3 linked regions of the Mytilus edulis genome follow. The protein of the gene in region 3 purifies or fractionates together with the protein of the main gene of each other region. This does not show direct contact. Links are inferred from orthologs where the notes say so. Each region holds a gene or a part of one and is shown on either strand. Other genes may lie near its edges. The genes, in order: condensin-2 complex subunit G2-like, E3 ubiquitin-protein ligase HECTD1-like and structural maintenance of chromosomes protein 2-like.

Region 1 (10,938 bases), on a different chromosome or scaffold from region 3:
GATCAGCAAAGTTAGATCTACAAATAAGTCAATTTGACCAAAATTGTCAATTGACCTCTTTAGGAGTTATTGCCCTTTAAAGACTTTTTTCACAATTTGTTCATCATGTTGACTTACTTTAAAAAATCTTCTCTTATGAAACTGCTGTATCAATTTCGGCCAAACTTAGGCTAAATGAGTTTCAGAGTTTCAGAGTATCTAGTATAAATTTTATATTTCATTTCCTTGTATGTCAAGAAACATAGCTCCTATGGCTAAAATAGAACATAGGAGAAAATGATTTTTTTTTGCTTTTGAAGAAAATAGGACGATTCAAAGAACATTTAAATAAATTGAAAAGCCAAAATAATCATTGATGAGAGATTAAACCAAAAAAATTCAGGTGAGCGATTCAGGCTCTTGAGAGCCTCTTGTTATAGTTTTTATGTGGTGCTGTTATACCAGTTTTTTTTAGTTTTTGTTTTTTTGGGGGGAAGGGGCGCTTGTAAACACGTTCAACCCCGCCATAATGTGTTTGCCAGTACCGAATCAAGGAGCCTGTTAATCGGTGGTTGTATGTTGTTGCTTTGTATCATATTTGTTTTTCGTTTTTCATTTTAAACATAAATCAGGTCGTTAATATTTTTTTATATTTTCATTTCGGGGCCTTGTTTAGCTTGTTATACCGTATGGGTGTTTCTCATTGTTGTATGCCATACGGTGACCCATGTTTGTTAACTTTCGCGTCATTTGGTCTCAGTTGATGGACAGTTATCTTATTGTCATTTTTGCGGGTTAAATTGAATAGGTTGTTCTAAATAAGACGAAGATATTGGCACGTTATGATGTTGCAAATCAACTTTAATTTATCAAAGTACCGAGTGGCTATTTATCCGACCCGCATTGCAATGTGCATGTTATTTTATGTTCCGCAGAACCAAGTGTCTCGCCTACTTTTGCTGTTAGTCGAAGGCTCAACAAGAAAGGGGGGGGGGGGGGTATAAGAAATAAATCTAGATACTATAAACTATATTTGGTTGTAAGAAGATTCTTAGAAAAACTATGTACATTAGTAAGTACATGTAGTTAAAAACAGATGACAGCTAGTTTAAAGGCAATAACAACCAAAAAAAAAAACATGCATCTAAGACAAAATTATCAATCAGTACATATTATACACATCCAACATTCAGTTATGGATTTACGTGTAAAGACGCAATAAACAGTCAGAGATAAACATGACATAGTGCAATAATGCCGAGATACAAGTACCAACAGATTGGGGAGCCATGCATATTTTTTTAACAATGATATTTAGTTTGATTTAAATTTACCGATAACAAAATCAATATTAATACCAGTAAAAAAAATATTCAAAGATCTAATTACAATGTTGAATTGGTAACCTTTTCGATAGTTCATAAATTTATCTGGTTGGTTTTTAAATTTCCGGGCTCGGAAAACAGTGTCTCCATAAAATAAGGATGTGATATCCCGTTTGAAATAAGTTTTCTATAGGTACAACCAAACTTCAAAAATAAATCTTTATATCTATGGACGAATTTAGTATAGGTTTGAAGTACATGTAATATACGGAAGATCAGGAAATCTTTTTTTTACAAAATTTACTCCTAGATTCAAGCTTTTGATCATAAATAAGCTTCTGTCCAAGTTTGATAGAAAATCAGGATTACCGAATGACAATAAAGTAATACAAAAGCACTTTTAAGGATTAACAAAAGAATAACACAGTACGTGTAACACAAATATGTCGTTTAAGTTTTAAGTTGAATAGGCGCTAATTGAAATGACTAAAGGAATTAATTATTCTTTACGTAAGAAAACTAAGAATTATGCTAAGATGTGACTTTATCTATTATTTACAAAAAGAATTATCTTGAAACTTTCCGATTAGATTGATTTTAACCATATTTCACCTTCGAAATTTCTTTTCTGGTCTAAGTCATTAATTTTGCAGTTATTGTTGCTATATCGGCGTATAGTACATTTTTAATATAAAAAATGTATATTTAGCATATTTATAATTCTTACATTTCCAAACATAAGATGATACTAGCTTGCAATAGATATCATTATTGTGACATAACACGTTGGTAAAACATGACTCCATTATTATTTATTTGATTTTAACTATTTATTAATTATTAATTGCCTTGAGTATGTATACAATATCAACGAGAGTGATTTTCTCCATTTTAGAGCTTAAAATAAGTTGTCCACCTTATCCCTCGTAAACCTAGTAACATATTGACCATCATTTCGGTGATTTGTAGTTTCATTTAAAATGTATTCCCAACTAGTAACTGTATTGCAATGTGGGTGGATCGAGTCTGAGCAAGTATGGTATAACCTTATCCATCATATAGATATTTATACAGATAACTGTTTAAGTGAGTTTGTGTTGTTGAAATGTTTTACATACATGTATATTTATCCTTCATTCAATTTCTATAGAAAATAATCAGACCGCATTTTTAGCTGATCTCTAACTGAAAAAAATACAAAATTAATATTTCACAAAAGAAGGGCAAAATTATTTTCAATATAACAAATGAATTTTATGAACTGTTATGATCATTGATTTCAGAATTTCCCACTTAAAACATTGTAAACTTTCCTGGCTAAATCGTCAAAAGAGTTTTTAGAAGACTTTGTCCACTTTCTTCCGTATCTACTCCATGAGTTGCCGGTGACCACACCTCTGACTGGCCTTATATCCGGCTGATTAGAACATCGCACACCACTTATGTTAGACAGCCTATCAACAAGTGATTGGATATCTTTGGATTTCATTTTTTTGTCTCCAGTGAATTTTGCTTTAGCTGGCATCAAACTGTGTTCTTTGCAAACATGATCATGTGCAGTCGGACCTCTGATTGTATATCCGGTTTCTTCTTCTGGTTTAGAGAGTCTGTCACAAGATTCCATTATCTCAAAATGAGACATTGTTTTCGATGAGTAACGTGTTCTGTTTTTGTACCCTACCTTTCCATGTTGTCGGTGTTCCTGTTCTTCTTTCTCGGAAAAGGTATTCGAATGTGTTAGTCCTGTTTCCATGTTCTGCATTTCACATAGATAATTTCTATAAACAATTATGTTCTTCTGTGTTAATTGCCTCAATATCGACAGACAAATTTCAGCTATATATTATTGTAAATCTATTTCTGATAAATAAATATACAATCCTTTTTAAAGTCTATTGTTTGTGCATAACTATGATCGCTAAAATCGATTTCAAATGAATATTTGACAATGATACTACATACAGAGTATTTATGAAATATTTATGCTTGATTTTAATTGGATTATTAAACAATAATCAATTGCTAGCAGGCAATGCCTTTAAAATAATATGTGTATTTCTGTTTACATTAAAGATATTAAATTACAAATATTGATATGGTTTTTTGAAAGAATGACACAAAATGTCAGAATTATTAAAGGAGTAAAATGGTAGGTCATCTTTAAAAAGATAAACTGTCACGATTTATGATATATATACCGAGATTAACAAGCAATAAACCTTGTCTTTACGACAAAACCAAACCAGCTTGATTTGTTTTTGTTTTAAGATGACATGCACAGAAATTATTCCCTCTGTAATTTTCACCTAAATGCTTGTTATTTTTTTTAAAAACTTGAATGTTTTATTGCCCTCGTGCAAACTTTACTGGGAATTCATTTTGTAATGATATTGACCAGATAGCCCCAACGTATGCATAATATATATCAATTCAATTCAATTCAAAGTTTTATTGCCATATAAACTATACAGTTTGTGACATATAACAACAACAAAAACAAATAAAGACAATAACTAAGTAACTCAATATATATACATAAATTCAGGTAAATATTAAAGGGTCCCCTGTCCTCAGTTCCATTGACTTTTTTTTATAAAGGATCCTAGTTTATTCACTTGTGTTGGTGTTGATGGGTTAAGTATATATATAACTCTATCATTGTCAGTGAGATTAGCAAATGAATTACTTTCTCTGTTAATGCAATTAAAATATGTTAATCTAATATTTGAATTATGAGAACAATTTATTAAGAAATGTTTCCGGTGATCATCTAGTACTTTGCATTTTTTGCAAAGTCTCTCTTCGCGAGGAATTTTAAAATGCCTTCCTTGAATGGTCTGATTCTAAGTTTTGTGATTAATTTTCTAAATTCAAAGTTTGGGTTAGAGAGGTAAGGATCAATAGATTTGGCTCAAGTCCTTTATAAAAAAATAATTTACTTTTATCATCAATAGATTTCAACTTATCCATCAACAGGTTGTTGTAATATGAGTTTTTTTGGGGTTTAATATAGCTTTTAATATTTCTTAATTGTTTTAAATTATTACTTATATAATAGTTCTTGTAAAACTGGTCATTATCGTGATATATGGACTACCCACAGGACGGTGGTATTGACTAAGATAGTGATAATGACTGAGCCGAAGGTTGTATCACAATAATGACCAGTTTTTCAACAACTGTTATGTTTATTTCATTGAGAAACCATGTTTTGGCAAATTCGCATAACTTCAAAACGACTAAAGCAAACTCGATTAGTTGTATTTTTTTATGGCAAAGAGTGAAGAACAGTCGTAGTAATACTGCCATGAGTTTAAGTTCAATTTTTCAGTATATATAAATACTTAATCGAGTTCTCTATAATTTTATAATTAACGAAAACATCTTATAAACAATTCAACAACTTAAATATAGTATTGAAAACAGGAAAATGTTTTATTAAAGGGACAATAAAAAGGCAGGACAGAGATTACAACTAAAAAAAAATGAAGGACAAAATTTTTCATCCTAGCCCCCCCCCCCCCCCCCCCCCCCATAAAAATCAAATGGTAGCTCCCTTAGTGTGCAAATATAAAATATGAAAACTTGACGTTCGTGACGTCACATACCAAACAATGACGTCATTCAATAAATTGCGTCACGCCCAAATGACCGTTCTATTGGACCTATTTTGAGGAAATTTTTTCTTAAGCTTACATAGATAGAACCGGACTTTCTGTATAAAAAAAAAAAAAAAAAAAAGTAGGGGTGTGATAAAGGGTATGCGATAAAGGGTGCTCATCAAAGTTGTGCGATATGGATTAAACAGCAGGCTATTTATCAAATATGCAAAACTACTGTATTTACTACTAAACATATGATAAATATAAATATTGGGCTTATGATATATATATATATAACATCTCAATACCTTATATATCATGTACTGTAGTACGACGCTAGATTAAAACTGACGTGGAAAGATAAAACCCGGCCACCGAAATCTTCATTTTTATGGAGCCCAGGTGGTCGTGTGATCTAGCGGGACGGCTACAGTGCAGGCGATTTGGTGTCACGATATTTCAGTAGCACGGGTTCGAATCCTGGCGAGGGAAGAACAAAAAATTTGCGAAAGCAAATTTACAGATCTAACATTGTTGGGTTGATGTTTAGACGATATATATATTTATCATATGTTTAGTAGTAAATACAGTAGTTTTGCATATGTGATAAATAGCCTGCTGTTTAATCCATATCGCGCAACTTTGATGCGCACCCTTTATCGCATACCCTTTATCACACCCCTACTTTTTTTTTTTTTTTACATTGGTTTTTTTTTTTTGCTTAAATTTTTTTTCCCTCAAAATAGGTAAATTTTTTGAATGACGTCATTGTTTGGTATGTGACGTCACGAACGTCGAGTTTTCATATTGAATGTGACGTCACGAACGTCAAGTTTTCATATTTTTTGGCACATTAAATGCAACTATGAAAAATACATAGCCTAAAGGCCCTTGGGCTGATATTGATGTCTCGGGATGATACGACATATGATACGGATTTTGCCATGTATTATTCTCTATATATATCTATATAGGCGATTTGGTGTCACGATATCTCAGTAGCATGGTTTCGAATCCAGGCGAGGGAAGAACCAAAAATTTGCGAAAGCAAATTTACAGATCTAACATTGTTGGGTTGATGTTTAGACGAGTTGTATATATATATATAGATACATGCTACTGAGCTATCGTGACACCAAATCGCCTGCACTGTAGCCGTCCCGCTAAAGCACACGACCACCTGGGCTTCACAATAATAAAGCTTTCGGTGGTCGTGTGTTACCTTTCCTCGTCAGTTTTAATCTAGCGTCGTACTACTACAGTACATGATATATAAGGCATGGAGATGTTATTGTAACTTACAAATCAGCTCACTAGCTATTGTTTACAAAAAGCCAATACACCACCAATCACAGGATAGATTGAGTGGTCATGACTCAAGAAGAAATATCTATTAATTGATTGCTGCACGGAGGAGGAACAATGAATGAACTTAATGGTCAGTTGGAATCAAATAAGTCCATATACAAAAGAATTCTACTACTCTACACAAATTTTCTGATGCAAATGCAATCGTCTATCATGATTATCTCAACATCAAGTGATAACAAATAAATTTAAAAACACACAAATATTGATACGATCGTTTACCAGTCAAAAACGAAAGTCAAATCTCTTTGGCATTATACATCGGAATGCCCTCACAGTCATCGCAATGTAAAAATCAGATGAAAATTAACTCATCACTGATGAGTATATATACTGAATAGAAATAGACCTACTTCTATCAAAAGCATAGTGAACGTGGACATATGGTTTTCAATAATGTTTAGAAACGCGTGCGGTCTGATTTAATTTCTATAGTATTCATAGTGTAATGCGATATATGGAATGTATCTTCAATTGTATTCAACACATATTATGTTTAACCTTTTTACTCATTGATCAGACTTCAACAACTTGACAAATAATCAGTTTTGAAGACAATCTACATGATCTAGTAGATAATTTACAAAATAATACTGACTTTTACAATTAAAAATTAAAAGTATTACCTTATACATTTTCACATCGCACAGAAAAATATTTGGTACGAGTTGGTTGAGTATGAGAGGCCGAAGCTTCAAGGTACGAGTTAACATGTATCAGATTTTGTCCCTATTTGAGACTGAATTGGTAATTGGTGAGACCCGACGAGACTGGAAACGAGAGGCGCGTTTTAGAAGATTCAAGTAATTTATCAACATTGGAAAAAAGTAAACAAAAAATTCTTGTTTTTGTTTTGTGATCTGAATATCTGTCACTGCTCCACGAATAAAAGCTGATTATAAATGATCAAAGAGCTAACTGAGAGTGTATCATAAATCATTTCTAATTTAATTTCCATGGCATAGGCCATAGTTAATCTTCAAATTATCTTTGTCGTGATGACAGAGTAATCTCTCTTGTGAATAATTTATCCTCTCTTGTAAAATTATTATCACTAATGTAGTTACTCCTTTGTACTTAGATATTGTAGGTGGCGCTTTAAAAATATTATAGAATTATATAAATGTGTTAAGTGAAAAAAAAAGAAAAAAATGGTTAAGGTTCATCATAAGGAATTGAAAAATATGGCCGTGTTTACACCTCCAAAATTACTATGAGTACAGACAAACTGGTACATCAAGGAAAGTTTTAAGGCACGGCAGGAACTAGATATATAAAAGTTATATGAAGTCTACGTTTCAGAAAATTAAAAACTTACCTGGATTTTGATGTTCATTTTTTTCCAGTCTGCAGAAGATAGCAAAATAAACAAACACCCGAGTTTCATTTGATACGGTCCACTCAGTTACACAGTTTAAACCTGTTAAATCACCTATTGTTTACAGGTGTCTATTGTCCATCTATTGTCCATTTAAATCAATACTACTCACAACATTGATTATATGACTGGAGCTTCTCAATCGTTTTCGCTACTTAGTTAATTTTTGCACCTTCAGCAGGAACGAAAAAAAATGGATAGCAAAATCTAGAAAAGTTTATAATTTTCTGAAACATAAAATGCATTTAAAATTTATATATCTAGTTCCTGCCATCCCTTAAAACTGTTGCAGGTGTATAGGTTAGTGTGTACTCAGAGTAAAATTTGGGGTGTAAATACGGCCATTTTAGCCAAAAGGTTATGATGAACCTTAATTAGGTTATCGAAATGGCTAGTCCAAATAATTATGACGCCTTGGACGGCTATTTTATAATTTTTTTTGGACGCCCTCCTGCAAATCCAAATATAAAAATACCCTCAGAAGACGGCATGATTATCTGGACTACGAAATGGCATGAAAAAATTAAAAATATTAAAAATTAAAAGAAATTTGTATTATATTAAATTATCCACTAAAATGGTTTGTTTCCTCTATGTACTCCGCATAGTCACAGCGCACAGGTACTTGTTTCTATCCATGGGCATGGGAAGACCCACTATCAACTGATCAACGTAAATATACGTTGATAGTGGTCTTCCCATGGACAGTAACAAGTGCCTGTGGCATAGAGTCTGTTCGCCCTTGGTTGTGGGGGTTATGATCACAGATTCTGCTTACTGTTTTGTTAGATTCCCGTATCCAGCTTACACTATGTACGTAAGCAATTATCATTTTTTTTGTAATTTCCTGTGTCCTGTTAGACTTCATTTCTCGTTTTCACGGCACAATAATTTGACTTTCACATGTCATGCCTACAAAAAATCAGCAATCCCGCATCACGCTTAAACCTAGTCCAAATAATTATGACATCTGGCAAGGCTATTTTAATTTTTTTCTGGGACTGCCTATGACGTCCTAATGCTGAAGCCATTTTTTACGTCTGGAGTTTGAGAGCAAATTTTGGGGGGAACTTTGAGATCTAATTTTGACATAAAATTTTCTTTGCAGGTTTAAAATTTTTACCTTTTTTGTGCTTATTGATGTAAAATATTTCCAGAAATATCTAGAAGAAATGGTAAAATAAGATACGATTCCATTTGAGTCGGGCAAATATTTATTTTGTTTCAAAAACATTTCCCACAATTATCAATGAAACCTCTCTTCCGGTAATTATAAAATATTAAAATCGGTAAGATTCATTGGACCCTAATTTCCGGAACATTCGATTTACATTATCCAGAAATTCGGGTCTTTCAAAATGTGCCGGTTTTAATATCATGAATATTTTATATTCACTCGAAGTGTCGTTTCATTGATAGTTCTGGGAAATCTTTTTTTTAATTTATGTGTTGAAAAGAAAAAGGCATTGAGTATTATATGTAAGAACACATTTCTGTTTACTCTTTTTACTGATTTGTCTACATACGATTACAAAATATATAAAAGCAAATGTCCGCATTTACACTACCAAAAAAACATGATAGCTGAAATGCGGACACAAGATTTTTTGGACAAGTGTAGTGGTGCAATGTCAATACCATGATGTGGAACATACGCAAAATTCTCTTAGTATCTATATATACAGTAATAATGCGAATCCGATACATAAATATGATATCAATAAAGATTTGGATTGATTTGTTTTTTATTTCATTCTTCATATTACAAATATTATGCATTTGGCAGTCTGATTTTTTCTACTGTCAACTGACACGTATTCTGCGGGTGTGACCCGAGAATTTCACAATTTTGAGGGATCAACCGGCACACCCGCCGGGTCATTGAAAAACCCTGGAATTCTGAAAATGACCCGTTTTCACCTGGATTTCTTAGCCTTCAGATTGATTTCATAAGTGATTTTCCCTTGAAATACCGACAAATTCGTAATTCTTCCATGTACAGAAAGTTCATCTAGCTGTGTAAACTGTCAAATTAAGTGACTCATTTAGTGCATGGCTTCACTTGACAGCTTTGGTGTCAAACACATTGTTAATAAACAAGTACCTTAGCTTTAGATCGTAAATAAAACAACTGGAGTTCCTTCCCCTTATTTGTCACCATTCAAAATTGTTCCTTAAATTTACGTTTTTGGGGTGAAAAAAGATAAAATCGAAAGCAAATAGAATGCAAATACATATTGAAAAATTACTTTTCATTATTTTTATACCTTAATAGAAATATAAAATAAATAGTTGAAATTTCTTTTTTTATCAATACTTCCTTTAACTGTTTAACTTTATTTTACTATACTCTAATTTTGATACAAGAAATTTAAATAAAAGAGGGACTTTTTATTATTATTTTTTCACCTTTCCACGTGTATTACAAATTTACGAGCGAAACCTATTTTCAGACATGCTTTAAGATTAGATGCAATGAAAGGGTATTCATGAAAGGTAATTGTATATAGTAATTTCGTTTTGAATGGCGAGAGTAGTTAAAGAAAATAAGTGTTCTCCATTTGACGACAAGGTGTCCGTATTTTAACTCCCTATGTCCGCATTTACATGACTGCGCATTTCCGCGGGTTTTAGATATTTCCAATCTACCAATCAAGAGAGGTGACATAAAAACGCGGGAAATAGTCCGTTTGATACCCCTCTATCCTTTCCTGTCCAATGCAACCACCAGTATGTCCGCAATTGGCCTCTATGGTATCCAAACTTTCGGATTTTAAAAAGTGTCATCAATTAGACGAATCTCCCCTATTGTATTTTAATGTATGAATGAATGAATGTTAACTTTATGCATGTATTTTGTGTGAGGGCCTCAATGAAAATTAGACTAGTTCTAATTGAGTTACCCTCTTTAGATAAAGAATTTATTATTATTATTATTATATTCATTGGGGTGTAAAACGTTGACCAAATATAAAAAAGCAAAGTTCATTTTGTATGATGCGCGGAAGCACTTCATTCTAAAAATGTATGCACGGTCAAAGCTTTTACATCCCTATGAAATTACTTAAAGAAGCATTCAATGGTATTTGGTATGCATCTGTATTACCATTGGCACATCTCATTTCTATGGAGATTGATTAGCCTTCAGTCATGGTTCATTGACTTTAATTTTTATCATACATTGTAACAAACAGAGATGCAACTAATCGTCGGACCTGTCAGACCTAAGGGGCAGAATTTATGCAGGTCCGGCAAAACTGGTTGCTGTGCAGGACCTGATGGCCGG
Region 2 (11,116 bases), on a different chromosome or scaffold from region 3:
ATAAGGTGGATAGTAAACTTATGACAGTTGATATACTAGGACTCGACTTTGATTCTGGAGTTTTTGCTCCTGGAGTGCTAGCTAAGGAAACATTGTGACTGGTTTCCCCTGCTCTCTGTAATCTCTGTAAAAGTTCATCTATAAGTCCATGCTGAGCTAGTGGAACAGGATCTACTCCTTTACGGGTAAATCTATCAGCTAAAGATGCAAAACATCTTAAGGCTCCATCTGCTACCTGTTTAAACATACAAGTATTACATGATTTAACCAAAAGTTAAATTTGTACAGTATGTCTTTCCTACTTCATCTCTTCACTTTATATATGTAAGCATTCTCACATGCTTTTTTATATGAAATGCTTGAAGTTTCTATATAATGATCATGATAATTAACACTGTCATTTTAACACGGTAAAATGTCCTTATCCATGGTACAATGTATTGCTGTGTGTGTGTTTATTCTACATTGGCTAAAGGTAAAGGGGGAGGGTCAAAATCTCACAAAACATGTTCAACCATACTACATTTTTGAGCTTGAAGGCCCATTGGTGGACTTGGGCTGTTTTCTGCTCTTTGTTGGGGTTGTTGTCTCTTTGGCACATTTTCATAAAAATTAAAATGTCTGAGAAGTTAGGTACTTCAACTATTTTAATGATATTTGAACATTATAAAATTTAAAGGGATTTGTATAAAGTTATAACCCTGGAGGCCACGCCCAATGCATTATTCAATTTATTATGCAAGTAGATTGGCTATTATTTCCAGTTGGTCGTAAAATATATAGACTTACAAATTGATCATCATGTTCTAGAAGAGTAGACAGTGACTCTACACAAGTCTCCAAGGATTGGTCTTGGGGTTCCATCCTACCACAGAGACGAGAAACTACAGACATTGAAGAGTGTAAGGTATCCTTATGAACCTGTGATCCATGTTCTCTGATAAAGGTGAGAACACACTGTAGTCCTCCAGCATCAAAGACAGCTCCTGATTCTCTGGTACACATTCTCTCCATAACCTATAGAATATAGTTAGAATGGTGATTCATGTAAAGTTCTATTTAAAAACTGAGGACAGAGGGACAAATGATGAACTCTAACATAGTGCCTAGTAGTCTACTAAAAAGTTAATAAATTTTTTCAAGACATTTATTCATCCATTAATCTCAAGCAGTTAAACTCATAATTATAACTAATATAATGAAATATGACGAAAAATAAAACTTAAACGATGCATGTTGGATTTGTAGTTTTTATTAAATCAATAAAAATTATGATAATTGTTCATTACAAATTATATAATAGACTTCTTTCTAGGTATTTCAAATCTTGGTGTAGGGACATATTTAAAAAAATGTTTGTATGCCAAAGCCAGAGTGCCATAAAAAAAAGATTGTGCCCAAAAGGTAGGTTTTTTTGTTTGTTTGGTTATTTTTGTTTTTTTTTAAATGTTAATGGACTTTTTAATAGTAAACTCAGTAAAAGAATTGTATATTTACAAATTTTATGAAATTCACATTCTACTACATGTAATTACTAAAAAGGATTAATAAAACAAAATCTTTTGTAAAATAAATAATATATCAATCTTGTGGCCAAATCAAAAAGGTTATCTGTCTTATATAAGGTTAATGAACTGACAAGAACTTGTTCTCCAATTTTATTATGTACAACAATGTAATCATTGTATTTAAGTTTAGTTATCACATTTAATCAAGGCTTATTGTCTAAAATAAACAACAGGACTTATTCAAATCTCTGAAGAAAGGGATTTAAAACAGATGCTTCATAATCAGGGTCTATCACAGCATAACATGAAAAAATACTCAACAGTAAATTACAAATGTAACAAAAATACAATGTCACTCATCACAGTTACATATGCATATTTTCACTTAATTCATTGGATTTGGCAAGAATGAAATACTTCAAAAGCTTAACTTACAACTTTTTTTTTTAACATAATGATATCAAGACATTTTAAACACTTATTGCACTGATTTACCTACATGTACAGTACATGTAACATTATCTAAAGAAGACCTTATAATTCTAATTCTAGGACGGATTTATCAAGTCTGACTGTAACATTGTAATTCCAAGGGTACCTGTTAAACTTCATACATGTACAATGTGGTTATAAGGAATTTCAAATACAATTGATATAAAATTAAAAGGGATCAGACTTGGCAAAAACCATTTATAAATAATGTAAATTTAAACATGGTGAAAAACATGGGTGATTTTCATAAGCATTTACATGTACCTTTATACATTGTTCAGACAAATCTCTACTGGTCCTTGATGACATTTCAACAATCACCAGTCTATTGCATAAAGCTTTAATAGCGCCATCTACAGCAACAATACGTCTGGTGCACTCTGCCGATACATCTAAGTAGTAAGTAATGGCCCTTGCTGTCACCTCAAGCACGTTGTCTGGAGCACATTCATCCAAGAAGATACGACATAAAGCTGGGAGAAATGTCCTTGGTGGACAGCTGAAAAAAAAAACAGTTTCTTAAAAACATGTACATGTACATGTTAACACAGAATTATAGAGTTAAAACTTTAATAGACCTGTCCTTCAAAAGATGTCTGATTTTCTAGACATAAGGCCACACCAATTTGATTTGTAGTGCTTTCGACAAATGCTCCAAAAAATATATGGCAAGCAAGCAAAATTTGTTTGATTGTAATTTATTTTTGTTTGACCAATGAGTTTCTTTAAGGCGACTGCTCTACAAGCATGACAAGTGAAGAGAGCAGCAATACTGCAATATACTTTTTTTTAAATTGTGCGAGTAAGAATTTATGTCCATGTTAAAACTGTGTTACTTCATAGAAAAACAAGGAGAAGCGTGCTAAATTGCATATAGTTATATTTACTAGTGCCTGTACCACAACTGACTTTCCTGTCTTGCTGTGGTTTAGTTAATTTTGATTGTACATGTACATGTAACCCTTTTCACTTTGAATTATTTTTCCTCAATTCAAATTTATTTTCCACTGTATATCCGATTTCAGGGATTGATCAGAATATATTTCAGCCATGATGAGAACATTGACAATTTTTAGGGTATCTAAAATGTACATGTACATGTATTTGAAAGTTTAAGTACCTGGACATGTACATTGTATGAAATTTCTTAAGCCTTATCAGAATGCCACTACTTCATGTACTTTCGCTTTCAACTTCCAACTGCAGCATTACACATAAGCTTCCAAACTTTGTTTTATTTCTGTCACAGTGACTCAATTCATTTAATTCAATTCAAAGCTTTAGTTATAGTTGGCATGATACATAACAAATAAACAGAGAGCTTTTATAACCGACATATCCATACATTTACATAATAATCATACACAATACTAATAATAAAACATAAAAGACATAGAACATACATTTCATGCACATTGACATGTAGTTCTACATGTGACAATATATTCAGTTTGGTTATAATATATGTTATACATGTACATGTTACAGTGTTATCCCCAGATATTTCATGTAGCATCCTGGGTAACAGGGGAAATCGAAACACCATCATGTATCTAAAAAATATAGAATCACACCCATAACACAACCTATAAGACAGTCTTCACGCTGAACTGCTAAATCTACAGGCCTACAGCTCAATTTTTGAAATTTTTTTAGTTAGATTCTGTTGGCCTGTAGGTCTGATTTTTACAGGCCTGAGAGCAATTTTACCAGCCTGGGCTGCCACTCGTCGTGAAGACTGATAAGATAACCATTGCAGATATTATCACATAACCATGATATGAAAAGGTCCTGGGGAGAACACTGCATGAATAAATTATATAAATTTTACCTTTCAAATACTCTGTCAACATTGTCAGACATCAACAACAGCATACACAGTTGTTCTAGGGCAATCTGTTGCATATCTCTTTCGTCTCCCTGTCCCATTTGCAGCCATTCTAACAACGTCTCTGGGTCAAAGTCTGCCATTGTGTCTGGGGGTCTGGTCTGGCTTACCTTTGTCTAAACTTAGTTTAGACCTCTAAGGTTGAAACCCCAGCAGGGTAACCCCCTTTTTTGGTAAGTTCAGATAAATAACTTTACTCCAACCTATCACGTTTATGAGTACAATAAGTGACACGGAAATTCTTTGTGACTAATGAATGAGCACTCGAAAGTGCATGCATTCGACGCAAGGAAATTATCCGATCATACAGCTTGAAACCTTCGGACTTTCTTCCGTGTCAAATGACTGAACACATGGACTGGAACAAACTCTTGTGTCCTTTTACAGAAATTTCAAAACATTTCCACTAAGCTATCTACTACTTTAGTTATTAAAAGAAACAAAGGAAGGCACTTTTGTTTTGCTCTTCACCTTCATAAACTATTTATAGCCTCGTTGTGATCGCAACATCCGGTTCATAATCTAAACACCGGAAATGGCTAAAAAGTTAATTTCCCGCGGATTATAATTTAATCTTTGCTTTGTAAACAAACAAATAAAAGCTTCCTAAAATAATTGTACTTCATCATTTTTCAACATTTCTCTTTACTTTTTTTACAACATATCCACTTTTAAAAAAAAACACGAGAAAATTGTATTTAAATTCAGCATTTTTTTGTCACCATGTGAAAAACTTGAATGTTTTAAATGGATTACGGACACTTGGTGGTCTATTCAAATCATTTGTTAGTTTTGACTTTTCCACCCTCTACAGAAATAAAGAAAAAACGTTAATTTTTTTCTCATGGACAACATTTTAATATACATGTACTTTCGACAATATTATTGACAAGTTGTTGGCTTTCCTACAATGAGGGGGGATAAGACCTTTATCGGGACTCCGGGATCGGGTGTTTTTAAGCTCGGGATTTCGGGAGTTACTACTTCGGGATCCGGGAATTTTTTTTTTCAAATTTCGGGATCCGGGATTTAACTTTATTTAAATTCGGGACCTCGGCATTTCGTGTTTTTAAGCCCGGGATTTCGGGATCAGGACCCCTCCTACCCCCCCCCCCCCCCCCCCCTATAATGGGCACAAATTGCAACCCTTTCATGGTATCGGGTCAGTTCGCCCAAATAACATGTTCGTCCTGGGTCCGTTTGCTCTGAGTTCGTTCGCCCTACTTAAAAAAAAATAAACCAGGGTATTGGAGTTGATATTCAGATAATTATATGGTTTATATTCTTGAAATTTATGAAAACATGGAAATATTTAAAAGTTGTTGGCTAGTTTAGGATAATTTTAATTAACTAATTGTTCAATGACTTGATAATTCTCACTGATTGTTGTGATACTTGTCTTTTGATGGATTAATAATAACAACAGAGACATATATATGTAAAATTGAGAAAGGAAATGGTGAATATGTCAAAGCGACAACCACCCGACCATAGAGCAAACAACAGCCGAAGGCAACCAATGGGTCTTCAATGTAGCGAGAATTCCCGCACCCGTAGGTGTCCTTCAGCTGGCCCCTAAAATATGCATAATAATACAGTGATAATGGACGTCATACTAAACTCCGAATTATACACAAGAAACTAAAATTTAAAATCATACAAGACTAACAAAGGCCAGAGGCTCCTGACTTGGGACAGGCGCAAAATTGCGGCGGGGTTAAACATGTTTATGAGATCTCAACCCTCCCCCTATACCTCTAGCCAATGTAGAAAAGTAAAAGAATAACAATACGCACATTAAAATTCAGTTCAAGAGAAGTCCGAGTCTGATGTCAAAAGATGTAACAAAAGAAAATAAATAAAATGACAATAATACATAAATAACAACAGACTACTAGCAGTTAACTGACATGCCAGCTCCAGACCTCAATTAAACTGATTGAAAGATTATGTCTTCATCATATGAATATCAGGTACAATCCCTCCCGTTAGGGGTTTAGTATCATACTATCATAAAATATATGAGAAGAACATAACCCGTGTCATGCCAACAACTGTTTTTTTAGAAATAAATGTGTTTAGTTCCGATGCAAAGACCCTATCAGTGAATCAATGTTAAAGCCAAAATATGCAATCTTTAATGACCTGACAACAGTATCGTAACTATATCCCCTTTTAATAAGTCTATTTAAAGGTTTTGTTAGTTTCTGAGGAGAATACTGACATTTTTGTGCTTTATAAAGAATATTTCCATAAAATTTTGGATGTGAAATACCTGAACGTATAAGATGTCTGAATGTTGAGTTATATTTACGAATTATTTCCTTATACCGGTGATAAAATTTAGTAAATGTTTTGACCAGTTTACTAAATTTTTGATATGTGTATATATGTCTCTGATAACAACAAACGTTTACTTTTGTTTTGATAAATAAAAACAATGATGTACAAACTGTAAATCATGAAAAAGGATTAAATAGTTCATTTATAATACTCGGAGACTAGTCTCAGTTATACTACATTAAAATAAAATTGAATATATACAATTTGTTTGTTAACAAATATCTGAGACTACGTCGAGACGCGACGGCCATAGGATGTGTCGGCCATACCCCCACATCGTCCATGGGACATATATCGGCCACACATTGTGAGACGTATCGTCCACACTTTAATTTTTTTTGATTGAGGTTATAACATAAAATATAATAATAGAATAAATATTTATTCATATAAATAACAGAAATATAATTTATTTAGTAATTTTTTTCTGCACAAGAGATCTACTGTGCACCTTTATTTTATTCTTGTAAGAGTTATCTTTGCTCAGTTGATCATCATCACTCGTTGGGGCCATATTATGTATGTATATTGTTTATTTCTTCATTATCATTTATAAAGACTTTCTGAAGAATCAATTTTATCGTAATGTGATATAAAGGCATCTTATTTTATATGAAGTTTAAACTTTAGGAATGTTGACTGTCGCTGTCGATGACGATATATAAACACAAGCACATGTTACAGATCTTTTTATTATAACTTTTAAAAACTATATTATTCTAAACATTTAACAATAAAAATCTTCTCAATCTCAATCTTGGTCAAATTTAAAACAGGACTCAGTGTAAAGGTTAACTGCTAAGGAAGGCAATTCATTCGAGTTATATTTGTCATGATCATCACATGGTTTAATAATTCTGTATTTTTCTCTTGATTACCTTGTTTTATATTTCATAACTAATCTTATAGTTATAATTTTGACAGAAATTAGTCTCCCATTCGGATATAGTCATTCATTCCTTTCATAGCAGTTTTTTTTTGTATTGTTGTTAATCCCAGTTTATGACAAACCGCAGTAAAGATCCTTCGAAAGTCAATTCAATTGATAAATTTGATAGACTTATCATAACCTTGATGATAATTTTGTTATAACTTGAGTTAAATTACACTATTGAAATTTACTGAAGGGAGAAGACACTATACATTTATTACTTTGGGATACCATACGGCATATTTTGTAAATAGTGAACAAAAAGGTAAAACATGCTACACAGTGTAACACATGATCCGTATGCTGGAGTTTCTTATTGACAACATATTTGTTGAATTTGAAGGTAGACTTTTTCAACAAATTATCGGCATTCCTGTGGGAACGAACTGTGTGCCTCTCCTTGCCGACCTTTTCTTGCTTTCATATGAATCGGAGTTCCTTCGGACACTTTAAAAAAACAAGAAGATCAAAGAAGCCATGTCATTAATTCCACATTCAGATATATTGATGATGTTCTTTCCATTAACAATACGAACTTTTCTCATTGGATTCCATTAATATATCCCACAGGATCGATACTGTTACTTCCGCCTCATTTTTAGACTTATACCTAGAATTCGACATACACAGTCATTTCAGTTCCACAATCTATCACAAACGAGACGATTTCAATTTTGAAATTATCAATTTCCCCCATGCACCTTAGTAGCAATAAAACATGTACCCACTTCAGCTGCATATGGGATATACATTTCCCAGCTTATTCGGTATCCAAGATCTTGCACCTCCTACTCAGACTTTGTAAAACGTCACCAGTGTCTGAGCAGAAAGTTGATGAACAAGGGCCACGGTATGTCAAAGAACGTGTCGTCCTTTTTTTTCAAAAAAAGGTTCATCGGAAGGTACAAAGACCTTGTTGATAAATATTCCGTATCAACATCACAAATAATACACGATGGTCTTAAAGTAAAAATTATGGGTACTGACGTTGTTTATCATCGTACTAACGTGTTATAGTATTCTTTTATTTGTCTTGATGTATATAACTTTTACTGTTTAGTCTTTTTTGGGGGAATATCCTTTTGACGTGACTCTGTACTTTTACATGCTGTCATTGTATTATTGTTCTATGCTATTTTTGTATTCTTGTCTTTCATTTTTGCTAATCCATTCGAAATGATAAAAACAATAAGTATCAAAGGTACCAGACTTATAATTTGATACACCAAACGCGCGTTTGAGCTTTCGTATATGATAGACTAATCGGTGACGCTCAGATCACAATAGTTAGAAAGTTAAATAAGTATAAAGTTGAAAGGTATTGAGGACCCAAAATTAAAAAAAAGTTGTGCCAAATACGGCTAGGGTAATCTATGCCTTGGATAAGAAAATCCTTAATGTTTCGAATAATTCATACTTTAGCCAACAGTTAATTTACAAAAAGGACCATTTGATGTTATCCATGTCAACACCGAAGTGTTGACTACTGGGCTGGATAATCTCGGGGACGAAACGTCCACCAGCATTTCATTATTGTTAATTGTTTTTTAATGATGGTGTTCCCTTTGCTTCTTCTTGTAATTTGTATATGTTACAGATATTGAAAAAAAAGTTTGACATTTTAGATGTCCGATTCGGCCATTTTATATATTGAGTAATTTATTTTAGGCATTTTACAAAATGCTTGGAAAAATAGAAAGGACTGAAATTATTTTATTAAATGTATAAGTTAAACAAGAGTGCACACGCTGAAATGTCTCGCCTTCTTTACTAATCATTGATATTATGTTGATAGTCCTAAATATAAAGCTTTATTACAACTGTCACATAAACTCAACATTAACCAAGAAAACTAAACATTGATCAGTGAACCATGAAAATGATGTCAAGGTCAGATGATCCATGCCAGGCAGACATGTACAGATCACAATTCTTCCATACAACAAATATAGTTGACCTATTGCTTATAAATTAAGAAAAACAGACCAAAACACAAATACTTAACTATAACCACTGAACCATGAAAACGAGGTCAAGGTCAAATAAAATCTGCACGACTGACATATAGATCATAAAATATTTCCATACACCAAATATACTAGACCTATTGCATATAGTATTAGAAAAATAGACCAAAACTCAAAAACTTAACTTTGACCACTGAACCATGAAAATGAGGTCAAGGTCAGATGACAACTGTCAGCTAGACATGTACACCTTACAATCATTCCATACACCAAATATAGAAGACATATTGCATATAGTATAAGAAAAACAGACCAAAACACAAAAACTTAATTATAACCACTGAACCATGAAAATAAGGTCAAGGTCAGATGACACCTGCCAGTTGGACATGTACACCTTACAGTCCTTCCATACACCAAATATACTAGACCTATTGCTAATAGAATCTGAGATATGGACTTGACCACCAAAACTTAACCTTGTTTACTGATCCATGAAATGAGGTCGAGGTCAAGTGAAAACTGTCTGACGGGCATGAGGACCTTGCAAGATACGCACATTCCAAAAAGAGTTATCCTATTGATTATAATAAGAGAGAATTTAACATTACAAAAAATCTTAAACTTTTTTTCAAGTAGTCACTGAACCATGAAAATGACGCCAAGGACATTGGACATGTGACTGACGGAAAGTTCGTAACATGAGGCATCTACATACAAAGTATGAAGCATCCAGGTCTTCCACCTTCTAAAATATAAATCTTTTAAGAAGTAAGCTAACACCGACCGCCGCCACCGGATCACTATCTCTATGTCGAGCTTTCTGCAACAAAAGTTGCAGGCTCGACAAAAATGAGCTACTGCAAATATTGAACCTGAGAACATTTTGATCTTCGACAATAACTGAATTTTAACGCTTGAATATTTTAAGAATCTAAAGTTTAAAAATAATTTCTTCAGAATTACTGAAAATTAACAGCCCTTAACTAGACAATTCATTAGCTATTTCATATTATGTTTCGATGGCATGATCTTTTACACATCTGTCCTGATTATTTGGGAAATACATTAATTGTTTATTGTTTTGGTAAAATCCAGACCATGATACATTCAGCTCTGTTACTAAATATTGTTTCTGATAAAACACCCGAAGTTCAAAATTATGGGTTTTTGTTTTTCGTGTATTCCAAACATTTCACAAAATAAACATGGTCATGGTTCTGCTGATTTTCACCTTTTGGTTTATAAGCATCTAAGATGCAATTCTTTGCATGTCTGGTGATATATTCATACTGTAGGCGATGCTTATTATATCGATACACCCGGTGTCGCTTCATATTGACTTCATGCAATCCTGCAAGTTTGCGTTTGTAACCTTACGTGATTTATCCCTTCTTGGTTGATTTACAACATTTTAACATCGATAAATTATACTATTGCCTAAATTCTTCAGATTGTAAAGACCAAAGAGTTACCATGAGGCAATACAGATGGAAGACTATCATTTATGAATCAGAACCATATTCGGCATTGTGTGGAGATTCTCATGGAGAATCATTTTGGTTGTATAGGATAATAGGTACTTACTTGTACAAAACTCACATACAAGTATATGTATTAGACATTTCATATAACGCCCGTCATCGTTAGACAATTTATAAAATTGCCTGAATTTAGAAAATGTCTATGCCCGTATGTATTCAGTGACGTTTTGAACTTGAATGAATGCGATAATATATGCATAACTGATAAAGTATCAAGTCGGGGATTGTTGATACCAGGAATCATGGATAACTTAAAACTTGTCCTAAATGTTTTAATTCTTTTTATAAATACAAAGATATTGCTTGGAAGTTTGGCTTGGCTCTACTTGTACAATTTTATCACAAAAAAAAAATCACAAAAAAACTGAACTCCAAGGAAAATTCAAAAACGGAAAGTCCTTAATCAAATGGCGAAATCAATAGATAAATAAAGGCAACAGTAG
Region 3 (10,288 bases):
AAGCTACCAATCAACGCTAAGTTTGGCAGACAAGTTAGGGAATGACTGGGACAAGGATCTTGTTGCCATGCAAGAACTAGTAACAACTGAAACGTCACATGAATTAGTGTTACTTCAGAACATACAGATGATCAAAGAGTCCATTGATTTGGTGAATGGAGATGCTGATACAATGGTACAACGAATTCTTGAACTTTCTAATGCAGAAAATGATTTGCATCAGTACAGAGATTTAATGCACCCTGGCTTTTACTTTGTAGGAGATAATGTAGATATGCGTACAAAAGTCAGGAATATGACAATCTATAACCAACACAAAGACCATCATATGTACCAAATATGTGCCTATGAAAACAGGATTTCAGGGAACCACCTAGACAACACTGTTGCCAAAGGAGATGCAAATACAGTGCCCTTCACTACTTTCATACCGAATCAGTTAGAATTGGACAGTATAGCTAGTGACTTCACTTTCCTAGTAGCAAAAATATGGAGTCAGCATATTCCACATTTCAAGATATTTGCACCAGTCCTTCCCGATAATATTGAGCATCAGTACATGAAAGAAATGAAACAAAAAACAGCAAGAGTAAGTTTATATTGTATGTGTTATTATTAACAAATTAATGAAAATTTTATCAATTATTGTTAAAAATGGTCAGTGGCAAATATTACATGCATATTGCAAACAAGAACAAGGATGTAACATAAACATTTATATAATCTTGACAAATCTTTGACTTTGGTTCACAAAGGGAAAAGGCTACCCTACATGTATGTGTTTAAAAATGGTTACTTTCAAATCCTGCATCTTAATTAAGTCTTCGAAAATTACTGTTTGTTATGGTGTCCTTCATTTTATCTCTTGATATTTAGCAAAAAACCTATTTATACAAATATTTCAATAAACCCACTATAAGTTTAAGTTTTGTTGATATATATGTTAAGAATCAAGCAATAGTATATATATATATATATAAATTAGTCGAAAAGATTATAACCCTAAAAAGTAATAATATGCTTAACTGGGCTCATTGTTGAAGGTCGTACAGTAACATAGAGTTGTTAATTTCAAAGTCATTTGGTCTCTTGTGGAGTGGTCTCATAGGCAATCATAACCACATCTTTTTTTTTGATATATTAAAAAGTATTAATACTTAAGTACAAAACATATAATAATTTTTTTACTATACATGCATATAAGAATTATATTTGATTGTGTTTAATTTCATGTACCTCATTTTGCTTTTAATAGATAAATATGGGAGTTTTGATGAAAAGTGAGCAATACAACGAAGATATGACAGACATTTGTGAATTTATGCACAAGTATGTACCTGGACACAATGAAACAGATGACTGGACAAAACAGCCACAAAAAGTCTTGAGTGGAGGAGACTATTTAACTTTTGAGAGATACAAACAGGCACAGTCATCCAAACGAAATGGTCGAACTCCAACAAAAAGATTAGAGGGACTGGTACCTAAAATGGAAGAATTTCACAACCAGGGAGAGTTGCTAAAGGTAATGTCTACAATACTCTAAGATGCATGATTTTTTATTAGTTGTTAGTGGCTTTGAACTAGCTGTCAGATAACTGAGAGTACTCTCAGAAATGTTCCTAGGGTCTTTTTGTTGTCGGGATGTACAAGTACCTGGCCACGTCTAATTGTATTTTTTCCATCTGATGAGTTAAGCCTTTTTCAACTGATTTTTATAGTTTGTTCTTATGTTGTACTGTTATACCACTGTCCCAGGTTAGGGGGAGGGATGGGATCCCGCTTACATGTTTAACCCCGCCACATTATTTATGTATGTGCCTGTCCCAAGTCAGGAGCCTGTAATTTAGTGGTTGTCGTTTGTTTATGTGTTACATATGTGTTTTGTTTTACATTGTCAATACGGGGCCTTTTATAGCTGACAATGCGGTATGGGCTTTGCTCATTGTTGAAGGCCGTACAGTGACCTATAGTTGTTAATGTCTGTGTCATTTTGGTCTCTTGTTGACAGTTGTCTTATTGGTAATCATACCACATCTTCTTTTTTATATCTACATAAGAAAGATAATTTGAAATAGATTAAGTTGTAAGTTGATATTTATTTTGAATATATTTTTTCAGAAAAACACTTTTATTTTTTGAGAAATGCATATTTTTTCATTGTTAAACCCGTAATCTGTCTGATTGTTTCAATTTCAGGTCATTTGGAAGTTGCTCTACTCAACCTCGTCAGCTAGAGACCAGGGAACTCTGTATGCAGCACGCAATACCATAAATGCAAGAAATGTTACCCAAGATCCGGCTGATGATTTTTATGCAGCTTCTGATCTTGTTGAGAAAGTTACCACAGCATATATTATAACAGGTGGTCTTACTCATTTTGGAATGGAAAGTATAGACTCTTTACCCTGTAAAAATGTGTATGAGGGTGCAGTTGGGAATACAAATGAAATGAAAAAATATATTTTTGATCAGGCACGCTCGTTTGTTAAGACATTCACATTGCCAGAAATACCAAAACTTCCAGAATATGGGCCAAATTGCAATACGTATAATTGTAGATACTGTGGAAAAAAGTACAAACAACCACATTCCCTCAGAAAACACGAATCCTCCATTCATGGTCATTATGACCCCCTTTTTGCTAAGGAAAAAGTATCAAGTGGCAAGGATAACGAAAATGAATCTGATGGAGTTAGTGCATATACAAAGTTGGTTTTAACATTGGGTTTATTACGAATGGATCACAACGATGCAATTCATATGGGTGATGGATCAAGGATGTTGAGAATTGACCAGTTCCTTGTTTTGTATTATAAATATTGTCATTGTACAAAATACGCCTTTGGTACTTTGGAAACTATAGCCCAAACTGAAGTTCTGTTAACAGAACGCCAGGCACACAGACTGATATGGAACAGAACTGTAAAACATAAGGGGGACGCAAACACAAATCATCCTAATGATTTAGATGTAGAACATTGTAATAAGGTATTTAAAGATTCTGCCCATAGTTACAGAGGTGTTTTTACTGAGAAAGTGGTTTCGAGAGTCAGTAAGAGTGCTATGAAAGTCCACGAAATTATCAAACAGTTTGACAAAATGTGCAACGTGCATGTTCCATCAGGACGACATAAAACATGTGACAAGGAAATTGACATTATAACTTTGGTCAGACAATTCCAGGCATGTAATTTATTCGATTTCATTCCTGGCCGATCACATTATGCCTATCCAAACATGAAGGAAAATCCCCTTACAGAGCTAGACATGGAGTTTGTTAGAGACTGGATTGGTGCTAGTTTAAAAAAGTTTCAAAATAAACATTTCTATTAGCAGAACAATTTTATTGTTTCAAAACATTTCATCATCTGAACTGTAAATGACTTGTGGTTTTCTTGTTGACGATTCTAAAACATCACTGTCACTATCACTTGAAAACATATCATCCAGTTCTGTAATGTCATTGTCATCGTTATCATCACTATCATCATTGTCCTCATTTGACATAATAGCTGTGTTTATTTTAGGGAGAACTTGATTGCAAGTGTTTGTACATACACATTCATCTTCACAACTGCATGCACATTTGCACGAGAGACGACAAATATCACAACAAAAGTGAGGTATATGTGCATGTTCAACAATTGTTTTAAATATATTTAGAATAAACGCCCGTCTACAGGTTTTAGATTTAACATATTCTTTCATAGATGGGAATATATTTTGACTTCCTAAACATCTTTTGTAAGTTAGTAGAATAGCATTGCATTGTTGTGAAGGTTCCCTACCAGCACGACCAGATTCTTGTACATAGTCATCAACATCATTAGCTGGACCATAATGTATAACTGTATCCACACCTTTTACATCTAGACCCATGCTAAAGGATGTTGAACATAGAACAACTCTAATATTACCGTTTGGATTCATGTAGGATGTACAAATAAAATCTTTTACGTCATCATCGGTTTTCATGTGGAACATGTCAAAAAGGCGATTTCTGTTATCATTTGGTCCTCCCTCTTTGAAGTCTATGTAAGCATCATGCTTAAGGGATGTTTCAAGATATTCATATACGTCTGCCATGTGTTTGATTTGCCTAAAGAATATAATCATCCTTGAAGTGGCCTGCTTATATCCTCTTAATAAATTTACTAACCATCTAAAATTGGTGCAAATATCATCTGAAGGTAAATTATGTACCCAGTATGTTACATTCTTTTTGTCGGGATTTACCATAATCTCAGTGCAGTTATCCATACAAAGTTGCTTTTTAATGACAGCTTTGGTTTCCTCTGTAGCTGTTGCTGTTAGAGCCACTACTGGTACATGACCCCCAACAAGTGAACGAATTTCGTCAAGTCGGCCATAACATGGTCTATATGCCAATTTCTTCTTCTTTTTATCTGGAAGCCCACTGAAAAAATTAAAATTAATTAATCATATTGCAATATAAATCTGCATAGGTCTCATAAAAATGCCTAAGCATTACAACGAAGTATTTCATAAGAAAAATTATGTAAGTACCATAGAAAACATATTTATAAAATCTTAATTATTGTAGATATCCAACAGTCCAGTAGCAAATATTTCATACATCTTTCAAAACATCACAATATGAATTGAAAGTTTTTAATTTGGATACCATTGGCAGAATAATCTTTCATAATAATAACAGAAATATTCAAATAAAAAGGTGATTAATTATTAAAAGTAAAATTAAATGAGAATGTTTTGAATAAATAAACATTAAATAGTTATTGCATGTACAGATATATATACATTTATAAATATATGATGTTCTTTTGTATGCATGTACTGTTTTTAAGATATACATATTTATTCTTATGTATGTTATAGCTTATGTTAGAGCGATTCAGATGATTTGTTTTTCTACTTTAGTATTATACATTATTATATGTACAAAAATAAATACTTACAACTTTTTTATGCAGTGAGCTTCATCTACAAATACTGTCTTGATAAATTTTTTCTTTGCCAAATCCAATAGTAATTTTCTTTCATGTCCAATAAGTGACTCTGGACTGGAGAAAATAATGTCAATTTTGCCATCCTTTACATCTACTAAGGAAAGATTTGTTAGGCTGTCTTCAAAATTCGATGGTGAGGTAATGTCCTTCAAATATACTGCTTTAATCCCTTTTCTATTCAATGATTGAGTCTGTGTACGCATTAAAGATGTTAGAGGCGAAATAACAAGTACAATACACATATCATTCTTCTGTAAATATTTAAATACAAAAGGTGCTATTTCAAAAGTTAGTGATTTGCCACTTCCAGTTGGAGAACAGAAAAATACATCTTTGCCTGCCAAAAAGCTTTCTACAACTTTTCTCTGGTTAATTTTGATTTCAGTAAATGACAACTTTTGTAATCCAAAATCTATTGCAGCAGATATGACATCTGTATCCATTTTGATGTAAGAATCATAAGAAAAGTGAAATTGTAATCTACTTGAGATAAAATATGGGAGAACAGCATGGGATATATACACATGACAGTCTAATTATCTATTATCAGCAGATGTGAAATAATAACCTCTTACCGACCAGTATCTGGTCGGTATAAAATGTTATTATACAAGTCCCTTTCTCCAAGGGCAATCAGTAGGCTGGCACTTATCAGTAAACATATAAATTAGTAAGAGAGAAATATTAGAAAGGGAATTGTAGCAAGTCTAAGTGCCACTAAATGTATCATTATACTATAGTCAGTTGAACTAAATTAAGCCAGCTCCCCCAGTGGCGGATGCAGGAATTTTCGAAAGGGGGGGTGCTAGCCCAGGGCAAAGGGGGGGTGCAGGGGGGGTGCAAACATATGTCCCGATTCAAATGCATTGATCGGCCAAAATAAAGGGGGGGTGCGGACCCCCGGAACCCCCCCTCTGGATCCGCCACTGTCCCCAATTGCTAGTGAATATAATGTGTCTGTTCCCACATCACGATGTTATAAAATCATGACGTCCATGCAATTTTATAATTGAATTATTCCGAATTGTCAAACGGCTCAATCCATATAACCGAAAAAGGTCCTCCTATCCAGCACGGTTGGAAAATATTTTATCCGGAAATAGTATCTCGAGTACAACCGTCAATTGTTTTGATTCGTATTATTAATGTCTTACTTCCGTTCAGTCATGCGCGTACATTATTATTTTTGAGCGCCAGTTTGAAATGAAAACAGACAGATGATTTAAAAACAACATTTACAACTTTTGGCAATGCATATTAAATCTATGGTCGTAGACGGCTTTAAGTCGTATGCTCAAAGAACAGAAATCAACGGATTTGATCCCCTTTTTAACGCTATAACAGGGTTAAATGGCAGTGGAAAATCAAATATTCTGGATTCTATTTGCTTCTTGCTAGGAATCACAAACCTTTCTCATGTAAGTTTGTTTCTTTTCATTAATGAGCAAATATTTTAATTTACACAAGCTCACACGAATGTTAACACGATGTACTGTGGATATCTTTAATCCTCTATCTTTTGGCCGTATGGCACAACTGTTCTCATTGGTGCATTTTAATAGAAATAATTTCTATCCTGGTCCAGTTGGAAGGCAAACAATTTAATGGCTTCTAAGGTCAAGACATTGGTCAAGTGATAAAAGGTCAGAGTTTACGATATTTTGGTAAACGTGCATGCCTCATGGTTTTTGGACTCGTAACGACTAACGTGTAGCCACTTTATAACGGTTAATGTGATTGGATGATCTTCAAAAATCAATAATAAAATTGCTAATAAATGATTGGATACGAAAATGTGTCAGCTATTACTTTGATGAAAAAATGCGGTCTTACTAATTAGCGACAAGAAGCGACAAGAAAACATTTTTTTTAAATTAAAATTAATTATTGCAATAAATAATAAAAGAATATGCAAAAGAAAATAATTTTAGCGACAAGAAAGTTTAAATTGATAGAAAAAAATGAAACATTATTTACATAATATTTTATCATCTATTATGAATAACAGCCAGTATTACGTTTAATTATTGTATTATGAGATTACTTTTCCTTGTGTTTTAGAACATACTATTTATCTTATAATTTGTTTTTGGAAAATGACGCAGTCATTGTTCCATAACTGCCGACCTGAACTTCATTACATTGCTCTGCCTACCGCGCTTGGTTTCGTATTTCCTATTTTCCAAACAAACTGGAACCTGCTTGTGTTATCATTATGCATCGTTGTGTAGTATTAAACCAGCCAGGACCCAGTTTACACTGGTTTTTGCTTGTATTCCACTACACTCGAACAAAGTGTTGTAGTTTGACGGGAACCAGTTTTAGAATTTGTAAACTACAAAACGTAATCGGTTATTGTTCATTCCGTTTTGGTGTTTCATACCGACTTATATGGTTTGAATAAGCTTAAGACCATTTAAACATTAATGTGATAGGTATATTAAAGATTGTTTTACAAAAGGATTGAACTGTTTTACTTTCAAAGTCGTACTATAGGGATGTCTGTCATATACGGATTTCCACTCTCACCGGTTAATTTCTTCTTTTACACGTGCTTTGGAAACTTCCTGTTTAATCGCAAGTTTTAAAATTGTTTTTGAGTGAATTAAACTTATTTTAACAATCATGAAGCGTTCCAGAATCATTTTAAAGCAGTTTCTTCTTCTCTTTGATGATGGAAAATAGGTTTTCTCAAGAAAATACCGCAAACGATCGCAGAGGAATTGAAACGTACAAGTCAAGTCGGCACCTGGTTAAATTGGCATCTAGTCAAATCGGCACCTATTCGACGTCAATTCGGCATCCAATAATATTTGATATAATATTTTCTATTCAATTAATTAATTACTGTTACCAAGTACATAGTGAATATGTTGTTGTGTATTTCGGTAAACCACGAAACGAAAGTGAATATGTAGTGTATAAAGGTAAACAACGAAGCCCTTACCAAAGCTGTTGTTTTAACAATTAGACAATTACACTTAGACAATTTGTGTAATTGTAAAAACAAGTCAATTATTAAAATAAAATGGAAAACTATGAGTCCCTTTCAATAAATCAAACTTTCATGCCAAATAATTAGCAAATTTAAGGTGTTTGTTTTTCAGTAAAGTTTAAACAGCATTAAACCAACAATCCTGTAAAATGCTCAACTGGTTAAAATAATGCAGAAAAATACACAATATCTCATGTATTAGTCCAAATAATTATGACGTCTGGCAAGGCTATTTTATTATTTTTCTGGGACGCCTTCCTACGACGTTCAGGTGCCAATTTAACTAGGTGCCAGTTTGACTAGAATTCTTTGACAAATGTTTGAAACTATCTGAGTTTCATTAGACCTTTGATAGCAGTAACAAAAAGATTATTTACTTAATATTTTGTGGGAGAAGGGGGTTCAGACTGTGTGGCATCAGGTCTGTTTGTGCCCAATACATTTTCGCACCCTACACGTTCGCACATTCACACTCTACTCATTCATGCCCAATTTTAATTCAAATTCAAGTTGAATAATTGGAAAATTATGGTTGTTGTTTTAAATTGCTTTGGTGTAAATACTGAATGTATTTATAGCTTGGTATGAGTAAAACATTGAAGATTTTAAAGGAAAAAACACAAAAGATAATTGTTTTTAACAGCTTGGTCCCATTGATCTGAAACAACGAAACAATAAAACATAGAAACCAAAATATAGCAATCCACTAATATAACCAAAACATGATAAAATTTATTCAACACGCAGAAACAAACATAGTCAGAATCTCACTTCATTTTGAAACAAGTCAATGAAACAAGTTATAGCAATACACTAACCAAAACATGATTAAGAGTTATTCAACACAAAATAAAACGTTGACAAAATACCACTTTATTTAGAAAGGATTATTATTATTTTTAGCAATACCTTATCCAAAACATAATTAAGATTTATTCAACACAAAAAAAAAAATTGCTGTCTCACTTTATTTTGAGACAATGACAACAATTATACTTATAAGAAAACACTTGCTTACATAGTTATTAAACACAAAACCAATTAAGATTGGGTGTGAACATGTAGGGTGTGAAAGTGAAAGGGGTGAAAATGAGTGGGCGCAAACTTGAATGGAAGCAAACGGACTCAGATTCAGACTATGTACCAGTGAGAAATATACAAGCCTTTCTACGGTATTTATTTGTACAATTCAGCTAGTCTTGACCTATTCATTTGTCTTAAAAAACCAGCCAGTTGTCACCTTCACTTCACACACACACACATATACGAATATCAATTATATGCTTACGATACATGTTGCATTGTTAAACTAATTACGGTATGTGAAAATCAAGACTTGCATAAAAACTATCCCTATATTAGAGACAGTGGCGTCATTTTTCTTCAGAGCTTTCAGCTCTTTGATTTAAAACTCTTTTTGTGCAAGATATATTAAGCTCGCAAAATGAATTATTTGTGCATCATTGTCCTGAAAATATTGACACAAATTTTGAAATACAAAGAACTGAAATCAAACAGGAGGAAAAGAAATTGAAATGTAAATGTTTTACACTTAGAGCATAGTATTAAGCAAATGAATCCGTGAAAATATTATATTCCATTAGGCCAACTAAAATTAATTAGTAGATTTTCATCCACATTTTTGAAAAAAATGGGGCGGGTGGGAGGATTTTATTTTTTAATTTTTATTTCAAAATTTGAAACAGGAAGTTTGGAGGGAAACACAATTTTTGACGGTTACCGGAAACGGAGATGAACAAATCCGGAAATCGAAAATTTTTCAAAATAACAAAAATCGGGGCGGGACGATTTCAGAGGGGCGGGCGGGGATGAAAATCTACCAATTAATTTTAATTGGCCTTATGCCCGCTCCATATATATCTCCATTCGATTATTCATACTTTGACTTTGATGAAAACAGATACATACATTATCTTATACATATTCTTCATATTTAAAAATAAAAAAAAAAGAAGCTCAATCTCTTTCTTCTTCACAAATGTTAAATTTCTTCATCTACCAATATACTACAGTGTTCCAGCTAGCATGAAATGGAGGGGCTCCGCGCCCCGCCCCCGAAATTTTGCGCCCCTCTGCATTTTTTAAGGGCCCCTCTGTGCCCTTTTGAAAAAAAGTTAAAAAAAACCGATCTTTTTTCATCATATCGTCGCCATTTTGTTGAGTTCTTTATACACACACTTCATTAAGACAACAGATTAAAATTGTTGACACTTGTTACCTGTATATAATCACCTATTTGATTGGAGTCAATTACTTAATCGGGTGAAATTTACGACCC

The links.
Region 1: the proteins of structural maintenance of chromosomes protein 2-like (region 3) and condensin-2 complex subunit G2-like purify together in Homo sapiens (affinity purification with western blotting; 4 studies listed by BioGRID and IntAct, with this or other methods). This does not show direct contact. The link is inferred for Mytilus edulis from reciprocal best matches to the Homo sapiens genes SMC2 and NCAPG2.
Region 2: the proteins of structural maintenance of chromosomes protein 2-like (region 3) and E3 ubiquitin-protein ligase HECTD1-like purify together in Homo sapiens (affinity purification with mass spectrometry; 3 studies listed by BioGRID, with this or other methods). This does not show direct contact. The link is inferred for Mytilus edulis from reciprocal best matches to the Homo sapiens genes SMC2 and HECTD1.

What each region holds. Positions count from the first base shown.
Region 1 is NC_092345.1:41,427,033-41,437,970, forward strand, and holds the start of condensin-2 complex subunit G2-like, read left to right. Parts: upstream 1-6,977; 5' UTR 6,978-7,101; intron 7,102-10,938. UniProt on the Homo sapiens protein: Regulatory subunit of the condensin-2 complex, a complex which establishes mitotic chromosome architecture and is involved in physical rigidity of the chromatid axis.
Region 2 is NC_092346.1:80,549,878-80,560,993, forward strand, and holds the start of E3 ubiquitin-protein ligase HECTD1-like, read right to left. Parts: upstream 4,401-11,116; 5' UTR 3,972-4,400; coding exon 3,832-3,971; intron 2,500-3,831; coding exon 2,265-2,499; intron 1,018-2,264; coding exon 790-1,017; intron 236-789; coding exon 1-235. UniProt on the Homo sapiens protein: E3 ubiquitin-protein ligase which accepts ubiquitin from an E2 ubiquitin-conjugating enzyme in the form of a thioester and then directly transfers the ubiquitin to targeted substrates.
Region 3 is NC_092344.1:125,106,480-125,116,767, reverse strand, and holds the start of structural maintenance of chromosomes protein 2-like, read left to right. Parts: upstream 1-6,154; 5' UTR 6,155-6,244; coding exon 6,245-6,412; intron 6,413-10,288. Other genes in the region: uncharacterized protein, read left to right, coding at 1-589, 1,256-1,525, 2,200-3,336; probable ATP-dependent DNA helicase RecS, read right to left, coding at 3,355-4,420, 4,944-5,437. UniProt on the Homo sapiens protein: Central component of the condensin complex, a complex required for conversion of interphase chromatin into mitotic-like condense chromosomes.